Linked DNA regions of Xenopus tropicalis. The main gene of each other region encodes a partner of the protein of the gene in region 2 in a complex. Links are inferred from orthologs where the notes say so. Each region holds a gene or a part of one and is shown on either strand. Other genes may lie near its edges.

Region 1 (5,006 bases), on a different chromosome or scaffold from region 2:
GAGTCTGTCCTTATAGTTTCTTTTTTTTAGTTCACACACAGCAGTCTAATGCAGCGGCCTCCCCCCTATGATGCAGTCGTCATACATAAGCTGTTAGACAAAAGAGAGAAAGAAAACTATTTAGAGCCAAAAATTGTTATACATAAACCTTATTAAGCGACAACTTTATTGCAAGAGAGTTACATGTTGGACCAAAACATAACTCAGGGGTTGCTACTGAACCCACTTTTTTCTAACTTAAAAGGAAGAAGATGATCACTAATCTAAAAATGGATGGGTTTATGGTTTTATCAGTCTCCGTAGCCCCTGCCAAATCTCATCCCTGCCTCACCCTAAATGCTTTATTTTATTTTAGCTGCCCAAACTGCTAGGGCCTGCACAACCCAACAGATTATTAAAAATTCTTTAACATTAGGCTAATTATTACATGTGCTTGAAACTGGTTTAACTGCCATTCATTCCCATGCCATTACTATGATGAACTCGTCTCTAGGTCTCACCTCATCATCATTATATTCATATTCGGAGTCAGAACTGTCTTCCTCTTCACTCTCTGGAAGGTACTGCAAATTCTTGTGTGTCACTTCAACCAGCTGTTGTTGAATCAGCATGTTATTTCTGCCCCATGTGAGCTGGCACGGAGAGTAGCCTTGGTACGTGACTCTGTTTACATCTGCTCCGTGCTTAAGCAGCAGTTTCATCAGGTCGTAGTTCTGCAGGTCCACGGCCATATGCAGCACAGTGCGACCATTGCAAGGCTCCTGTGGTGAGGGAAACAGAAATTTCTCTTAGATCTAGAGGCAAAATTGAATCCAATAGACATGGCAGGAAGAAACATCAGTATGTAGCCAAGTGAAGTAGGGGGAATACTGACCTGGGCATTTATATCAGCCCCCTTATTAATGAGATTTTCCACAATTGCAAGATAGCCATGGATCGATGCCAGGTGGAGGCACGTGTGACCTGCATCGGAAAGAAAGATATTAGCAAGGCAGTTCTAATTCTAATTTGCCAAGTAGCACAACAACACACGTCTAAAGGTTTATAGATTAAGTTTGATACATACCATCATAGTTCACAGATTGCAGAAGTGCTGGCAGTTGTTTCTCACAATACTGGAAAATGACCCCAACTCCCCGAAGCGAGCCCTGCTTGCAGGCAATGTGCAAGGCGGTGTTGCCACAGAAGTCTTGGATTTCTGGATCACAACCAGCCTGGAGAAGTGACTGGCTGATGTCTTGTTGTTCGGTGATTACTGCCAGATGTAGTGCTGTCTGCAGAAAAGACATTAAAAAAAAAAAGAAAAATCAGTAAATTCATTCTCATTAAACACAAAATTGAACTTGCAGAATAAGCTTGTACTATATTCTATCCCTCATGAACATGCTATGAGTGCACTGACTATTAATATTTTAAGTGCTGGCCAACTTACATGTCATAGGTCAATTATTCCACAAACTGGCCCTCTATTATACTTTATATGTTAAAATTCCTTTGGAGGGCCACATCCGGCCCACGGGCCTCCAGTTGGACAGCCCTGCCCTAACCGACAATGGTGGCACATGACAAGCTAATCTAGAAATAAAGTTTTTACAAGGTTTAGAAAAAAAATAAAAAGTAAATTACCTGGTGCAGATTATTCTGCTTGTTCAGGTAAAAATGGTCCCTGTATGAACGTTGGATTGCCTCCTTCACCAGGGTTTTCTCTTCATGGATAATTGCCAAATGGAGAAACCTAGAAGGGAACATAAAAAGGACATGTTAAAATAGAGAAGCAAATTTGTGTCATTTAACCATAAAAAAAGAAAAGATGAACTAGCAGGTTTATGGGAAATGACAAACTAGCTTTCCAATCTTAGCATCTTATTACAAAATGTCATTTCTGTATTTACTATTTCATCATTCAGAAGTAGAAAATGTACCCCCCCCTCCCCTTTGGGAACCAGTAAGTGAAGTGGTGTTAAGGTTCAGTGTGTGGGAAAGATCGAGGTGAATAAAACTTCATAAATTTAGAAACTGCCAAGCAATAGGAAATAATAATTCATAATGAACCTATTTCATCATAGCGGCATGTCGGTGAGCTGCAATACTAGTCAGTGGTGACACAAGTGTGTACTTCCCCCTCCCCCAGCCAACTATGCAATTGTGTAAGTCTGGGGATTTTTTCTTCTCTAGATCTGTCTGTTGTTTTCCGCTTTCTGCTGTGAGTGTGAGAGTGTGTGTGTGTGCAGTTGTGTTCCTGGCTACTGGCCAGGGACTTTCCAAAGCCAGAGTCCTGCCCCTGGGTGCCTGCCAGCCCCCACCCCTCTGAGGCAGCAAGTCAGAGAACAAGGTGTCCTCCCACCCCCCCTCCCTCCAGCTCACACGAAGAAGGGAAAACCCAGACAGATATGGCGTCTCTTCTGCACCAACAAAAAAATTCCCCTACCAAGAACAAACATGCACCAAGCCATCTAACAGCTGCCCGGCGTTGCTGCATGCTTGCAAATACCAATGCATGATATAAAAAAAGCATTAAAAGCACAAGGGTTTTTAACTATTTGCACAACTTACTAATACTGCATGTTTATGGTTGCATGAAAAAGCTGCACAATAAATTGCAGTGTTATGCAGTGTAGCCTGCCCCATGCACCTAACTGTGCATTCACCATAAAGAAGTCATGCATTAGTAAATATCTACATATCCTACACTAAACACTGCCCCAAACCTAGGTGTCCCTGTTATATATATATATATATTAGTGCAGCACTATAGAGTACTATCCCTTTATCAGTATATACACTGTGCAAGGCAGATGTAATGGTTTTAGATGTACTAATACTAAGGTTCATCGCCCCTATACAATATCAGTAGATACTGAGCACAATCCCCAGCCATATAACGAACCCATTCTCTATCACTTACGTGTCTCCATCTTCGTTGACCTCTTTCTTCCATGGCTCCGGCTCATAGTTCGATGTGTCCGGCGGGCCCTCCATTCTCATGTTGCTGAGGTCAGTAATGATAGCCGTGTATTCCTCCTCCTTCAGGGAGTCCAGGCCGCTATCAATGCGATCGTCCTGCAGCAGTTTGTCCTTCCGGAGATCCCTAGCTTCTCCCTCCATCATATTCCCTTGGTAATCGTGAAAAGGCACAGACATGGCGGCGGCCGGTTGTTGAGCTTCCCCGCAAAATAGCTTAGAAGACACTGTAGAATCCCAGTTGCGATAGTGAAGTTCTGTAGCTGTAGCCTCCTCTATACTAATCCCATCCGATCAGAGCGACTTCTGGTAGCGATCTGGCAGCTCCCTCCCCCAGCAGGCTACTTTTACATATACAGCCGGGGTTTTTTCTGGGTGGAGCCGAGCTCAGTTTCCTACTTGTGAACTATTATGTACTCTGGGAAATTCCAAGAATAAGTCAGTATAGGAACACAATGAACCTGACGGAGCCAGTTCTGTGGTACAATAAAAGGAAGAGCGCAGAAATATGTACAAGGCTCAGAAATTCCCTTTTTTCAGACGTGCGCAGCTACTCCATGTACATTCCTCTCAGCACACTCACCATTCCTGGGACACACTGGGGGGATTCGGGCAAAAATACACATTAGTTCCCCACATCATACTCGGCATTTATATGCGTTAAATATACCTTCGTCTGACAGACTATTGATATTATGCTAAATACATAAGAGCTCAACGTCCGGGGAGCCATTTGCATTTTGCACCTTAACCCACACACACAACCGACTTGCACCTAATGATTGATGCTAATGCCATTTTGTTTTATTTCAGCAACTTCCAGAAACGAGGGGTTTACAAACAATGCAACTTTCGCGCAATGTTCCCCAAAAGGCTGCAAAAATTGCGTCATAAGCAGCAAGATTACACTGGGATTCTGGGGAATAACGTTGCATTGTGGGTGAAACATGGAATTTTGCACTCTTTTGTGCATTGTAGTAAGGCTTTCCCACTGGAAAGAAATACAGGTCTTCCTAAATTTTCATCTCTCTACCCAGTTAACATTGGGATATTGCAGTATTTTAACTGGTCAGGCCAGTATAATAACCTCCAGGTGGCAATCCTAATTGCAGTTTGCATTTGCTTTAAAAAAAACATAAGCCCCTTTGTGCATTATTGTTGGGATGAAATGAGATTGTATGAATTTAATAGTTATTATTTTTATAACGATAATAGTTTCAGGTACCTTGCTTAGGTGAAATAACTTAATTGCCATTTGCCGAAGGTTATCTGTCCGTAATTCTTGTGTGGGAATAAAAGTAGTAAACCAAAAACATCATGGAATACTTTGACTATACTATTGTGCGCTCTGCACTAGTGATGTGCCCAGGCCCGGGCCTAGGGCGGCATAAACATAGGGGCGGCATGCTGCCCCGCCGCACGCAAATTTCAAAATTTTGCTCCCATACGGAGCAATGGGGACCTCTCCCCACTGCTCTGTATGGGAGTTTTAACTTTGGCGCATGCGCATTAGCGCGGCGGCAGGGGAGGAGGAGGTGGTTTGCGCATGCGCGCTCGCACGGCGGGTAGGGGGCGCCAAATGGGGGCGGCCTCGGGGCGCGTCATTTAGAAATCCGGTGCTGGATGTGCCCCCCTGACACAAGGGGCATATATATTATAGTGTGTAAGCCAAAATCAGCTGTGATGTTGCATATAGCATTTAATAAGCAATTAGATTTTAATGGTCACCTACAAGTTAAGGTGGCCATACACGTTACAGTTATCAACCTTCCTGCGACCATTGGCAAAAACAATAAGAATTCTACCCCTATTTGACGATTCAGCCCTTAACGTATGCTTATGCTCAGGCGCTTCAACAGTGCCCGATCAAAATATTTTACCCTGCCCGATTGGCAAGACGACCAATATCCAAGGTTTTTTGTGATATTGGTCACTTCGTCGATCCACTATACATACACCGAATATCGAATGTTGGCTTACACAGTATAATAAATATACCCTTAAGAGAGTAGGTGCAGCATCCCTTAGGCCACATTGGGGCGGCA
Region 2 (5,100 bases):
ATCAATGAGCTGATGCAGTCCCTGATCTGACAGAAAAATCCAACCTGCCTGATCAACACCTGCCCGTTGTTCAGCCAGATATGGATCAGGAGGGCCAGACGGGGGGCCCCATACATGGGAGGATAAGCTGCCGAATCAGTCTAAAAAACTCGAATTGGCAGCTTAAATCTGCCTGTGTATGGCCACCTTAACTTTCTATTAATTGGCCTTCCCAGTCCATAATGAATACTGCTGCTAGGCTCATACACCTCAAAAATCGATTATCCTCTGCCATGTCCCTCTGCCAATCCCTGTATTGGCTTCCGCTACCATGACCCTCACATTCAAAGCACTTTATATCTCTGCCCCACATCTCTAAAATCATCTATAGATACCAACCAAACTGGTGGTTACACTTCTCTACTAACCTTATCTCTCATTCCCATCTCATATTTATTTAGAGAAGCTTCCCCTCATTTAGTATAGCAGAACTTACTGAGTGCTACTGAATACCCTATGCTACATCTCTCATCTTGCTGACTTCTGATCTTGCCCATTCCCACACCTTGATCTTGCCCATTCCCACACCTTGATCTTGTCCATTCCCACACCTTGATCTTGCCCATTCCCACACCTTGATCTTGCCCATTCCCACACCTTGATCTTGCCCATTCCCACACCTTGATATTGCCCATTCCCACACCTTGATCTTGCCCATTCCCATACTTTGATCTTGCCCATTCCCACACCTTGATCTTGACCATTCCCACACCTTGATCTTTCCCATTCCCACACCTTGATCTTGCCCATTCCCACACCTTGATCTTGCCCATTCCCACACTTTGATCTTGCCCATTCCCACACCTTGATCTTTCCCATTCCCACACCTTGATCTTGCCCATTCCCACACTTTGATCTTGCCCATTCCCACACTTTGATCTTGCCCATTCCCACACCTTGATCTTGCCCATTCCCACACCTTGATCTTGTCCATTCCCACACCTTGATCTTGCCCATTCCCACACTTTGATCTTTCCAATTCCCACACCTTGATCTTGCCCATTCCCACACCTTGATCTTGACCATTCCCACACCTTGATCTTTCCCATTCCCACACCTTGATCTTGCCCATTCCCACACCTTGATCTTGCCCATTCCCACAACTTGATGTTGCCCATTCCCACACCTTGATCTTGCCCATTCCCACAACTTGATGTTGCCCATTCCCACAACCCTTTCTTCTTTTAAATTGGAAGCTCTTTTGGGCAGGGCCCTCTTCACCTCTTGTATCGGTTATTGGTTGCTTTGTATGTAAGTCTGTATGCCCAATGTATTGTACAGCGCTGCGGAATATGTTGGCGCTTTATACATATAAGTTAATAATTATAATCTAATTTATTCCTTTTATTTAGACAATCTAATGTGATATTTGGATCCTTTACATATAAATACCATTAGAGGGTGCTAAAGGTACAAAGGACTCCTGTGAGGAAGCCAGGAGAGCTGTGAGTGGCGAGGCTAGAGGTGAGCATTAGGACCCAGCAGGCACCTGGAGGAAAGTCACATGGGCGGAAGTGAAGCAAAATAGTGAATCAAAGAGGGACTGAGGAAGAGTAAAACAACAACACAGGACACTTCCCTACTCCAAGTAAGTTGTGTAAATGCATGTGGGGGTGAATTTACACTATGGGCTGTGTGTGATTTTGTTTTAGAGGGAGCACAAGTGGCGGAACAGAACTTGTTATACCCCCCTGCCCTTAGTCTCTGGCTCATCCAGACGTCTGTGTGTCACGTATAAATGGAACGAGTTCCTTCAGAACTGTAAACATGACAAAACTCGCCATCATGCAATTCTGCCTTATTGAATAGGTGACTAGTGGTTTAAAGGACGTCAATTCAAAAAAAGAATTCTATGGGGGGGTTTAGGGCCCACCGGGGCTACCACCCCAGGGGCCCCACACCCCCAAGGTGCTCTTCCAGCTGCGCCCCCCCTAACCCCACGCAGGGGCCCCGCCACCTGCCTGACATCCTCCCCTGAATGTGTGTAAGTGAAATGCGTCAGGGGAGGACACCGGCGGCCGGGGGAGCGGTAACAGGCAGGGTCAGACTGGGCCGCCGGGACACCGGGAAAAATCCCGGTGGGCCCCGGCCCTAGAGGGCCCCAGCGGCCCAGTCCGACCTTTGCCAGCGCTCCCCCTACTGACTGTTCCTCCCCGACGCGTTCAATTTATATGCGCTCTCGGAGGACATCAGGCGGGGGCCCTGCGGGGGGGGTTAGGGGGGCCCCTGGGGGGGGGTTAGGGGACACGGCTGGGGCACCTGCAGGGCCCCTGGGTAACAGGGATTGGGTCTGGGCCGCTGGAGCCCACCGGGTTTTTTCCTGGGAATCCCATTCCGACCCTGATTCTTTGCCTAATAAGCGAAGACATAATTCTAAGCAACTTCACAATATACATTCATACAAATTTGTATATATTATTGCTGTTAAAACAATGTGTTACATTAATAGTGTTACATTGTTTTGATGCAATATAACACAAGCCAGCTGACTGTGCAACATTGAGTCTAGGAAGGTTTTTAAACAGGAGTTAAGCAAATGCAAACCCTAAAAACATTCATTTTTAGGCTTTAGTTCTCCTTTAAAGCACTACAATTATTAAATAAATTTATATTGAAAAGTTAGCAAAATTTCATTTTTTTTGGTTGACTTTTAAAGGGGTTAAATGGATTTGGGTAACTGAGTTCAGAGTACAGGTATCAGACCCCTTATCTGGAAACCCATTACCCAGAAAGTTCCGAATTACGGAAAGGCCATCTCCCATAGACTCCATTGTATTCCTTTTTCTCTGTAGTAATAACAGTACCTGTACTTGATCCCAACTAAGATATAATTACCCCTTATTGGGGGCAGAACAGCCCTATTGGGTTTATTTAATGGTTAAATGATTCCCTTTTCTCTGTAATAATAAAACAGTACCTGTACTTGATCCCAACTAAGATATAATTACCCCTTATTGGGGGCAGAACAGCCCTATTGGGTTTATTTAATGGTTAAATGATTCCCTTTTCTCTGTAATAATAAAACAGTACCTGTACTTGATCCCAACTAAGATATAATTACCCCTTATTGGGGGCAGAACAGCCCTATTGGGTTTATTTAATGGTTAAATGATTCCCTTTTCTCTGTAATAATAAAACAGTAGCTGTACTTGATCCCAACTAAGATATAATTAATCCTTATTGGGGGCAAAACAATCCTATTGGGTTTAATTACTGTTTAAATAATTTTTTTTAGTAGACTTAAGGTAGGAGATCCATATTAAGGAATGACCCCTTATCCGGAAAACCCCAGGTCCTGAGCATTCTGGAATGTATAGTATGCAGTGCATTCTAGCCTGCTCCAAAATGGTTGTTGGCATGAAATGAGGCACCATAATGGGCATCCTAGCAATTAAGCCTTTTATATATGTGTAAATATAGTAACAGTGGTGTCCAAGAGGTTAAATGATTTGAGCCAGGCTGTATGCTATGCAGGGCATCCCTGCCTGTCAATCTATACTTTGATATCTGGGACACAATTATCAAAGTATAGATTGACAGGCAGGGATGCCCTGCATAGCATACATCTTATTTCAGCCTGGCTCAAACTGCGGCATAGAGGCGGGGCAGGCAATATATGATTGACAGCTCAGATTTTTAAATATATTTATAACGGGTATGAATGATTTATTTTAAAAAAAGGGTTGGGTTTCATGTTTAATTTTGAAAGAACTTTTATTATACAGCTTTTTATGACTGGGTGACAGGTCCCCTTTAAAACACAAGTTACTAGTATAAACAGGCAAAATATCCATACTCCCCACCTAAATGCCACTTTTCATTCCCAAAACCATTCCAGGTTGAAAAGATATGAATATAATGCAGGTCATCCCTGTCTGTGCATATACATTGAAATCAGTGGGCCAAAGTCATTTAACCCTTTAAATCATTAGTTATTCATCGGACCATATTAGAAACTAATGCCACTTTTCCTGCACAGAACTGTTACAGGCAAGGGTAGAACAAGATACATAGTATGTGGGGGATCCCTGCCTGCCAATCTACCTGTGGCCCAAGGTCATTTAACCTTTTCAACCAGCCCATTACTTATTCAGAAAGCCAGAATTGCAAAGATGCCCACTTTGGAGCCACTTATCCTTTCCAGAATCCTTTCGGGCCAGGCCAGAACAGGGTGAATACAATATGAGGAATCACTGCCTGAAAATAGTTTTAAATCAGCAGCCCAAAGGCATTAAACACCCTCAGCACCCCTGTTACTTATTCAAATCGGCATATCTTGGGCCAGGCTGGAAAGTGGTGCATACAATGCACCCTGCCTGCAAATATATAGGTTTATAGCAGTAGCTCAAACTTATTTAACCCCTTTAGCACATGTTACTTATTCAAATAGGCAGGATTGCAATGATGGCCAGATTAATGCCATGTTTCTTACCCAAAACACTTTCGGGCCAGACCGGAACTAGGTGCATACAATGGGGCGAATCCCTGCCTGCAAATATATATTTTTAAATCAGTGGCCCAAAGTCATTTAACTCTTTAAATCATTAGACACTAATGCCACTTTGGGGCCACTTTTCCTGCCCAGAACTATTTTGGGCCAGGCTGGAACAAGCTGTACATTATGTACGGAACCCTGTCTATGAATGTATACTTTTAAAACTGTCGCCCAAGGTCATTTCTTTTAAACACTAGTTACTTATTCACTGACTGAATTAGAAACCAACTTCAAGGCACAAATAAGAAACTGGCAGAATAAGAAACCAAATTCAACGCTGTCCAGTCTCGGACTGGCCCACCTGGATACCAGGAAAACTCCCAGTGGGCCCAGGCTTTCAATGGGCCCTCCTGCTCACTCAACCATTTGCCTTGTATGCCTATACCATGGCCATTACTCAATTCTATATGAGAAGAAACAAAAGAAATAGAGGAAAGGATAGATAATACTATGTAAAAAGATGTATTTAAGAAATTAAAGAAAGTGAGTAAACAGTGAAGGAAAAGGGGTCTGGAGAGTGGGCCTTAGGTCTAAAGGTTTTCAGATAGGCCCTTGGCACCCCAGTC

What was found. Proteins that work in one complex are often made in the same cells at the same time.
Region 1: chuk (region 2) and nfkbia share a complex: the UniProt entries of both Homo sapiens proteins name them as parts of the 70-90 kDa complex. The link is inferred for Xenopus tropicalis from reciprocal best matches to the Homo sapiens genes CHUK and NFKBIA.

What each region holds. Positions count from the first base shown.
Region 1 is NC_030684.2:109,511,434-109,516,439, forward strand, and holds the start of nfkbia (NF-kappa-B inhibitor alpha), read right to left. Parts: upstream 3,262-5,006; 5' UTR 3,142-3,261; coding exon 2,906-3,141; intron 1,736-2,905; coding exon 1,627-1,735; intron 1,275-1,626; coding exon 1,067-1,274; intron 964-1,066; coding exon 875-963; intron 762-874; coding exon 501-761; intron 91-500; coding exon 46-90; 3' UTR 1-45. UniProt on the Homo sapiens protein: Inhibits the activity of dimeric NF-kappa-B/REL complexes by trapping REL (RELA/p65 and NFKB1/p50) dimers in the cytoplasm by masking their nuclear localization signals.
Region 2 is NC_030683.2:110,589,205-110,594,304, reverse strand, and holds the start of chuk (inhibitor of nuclear factor kappa-B kinase subunit alpha), read left to right. Parts: upstream 1-1,588; 5' UTR 1,589-1,627; intron 1,628-5,100.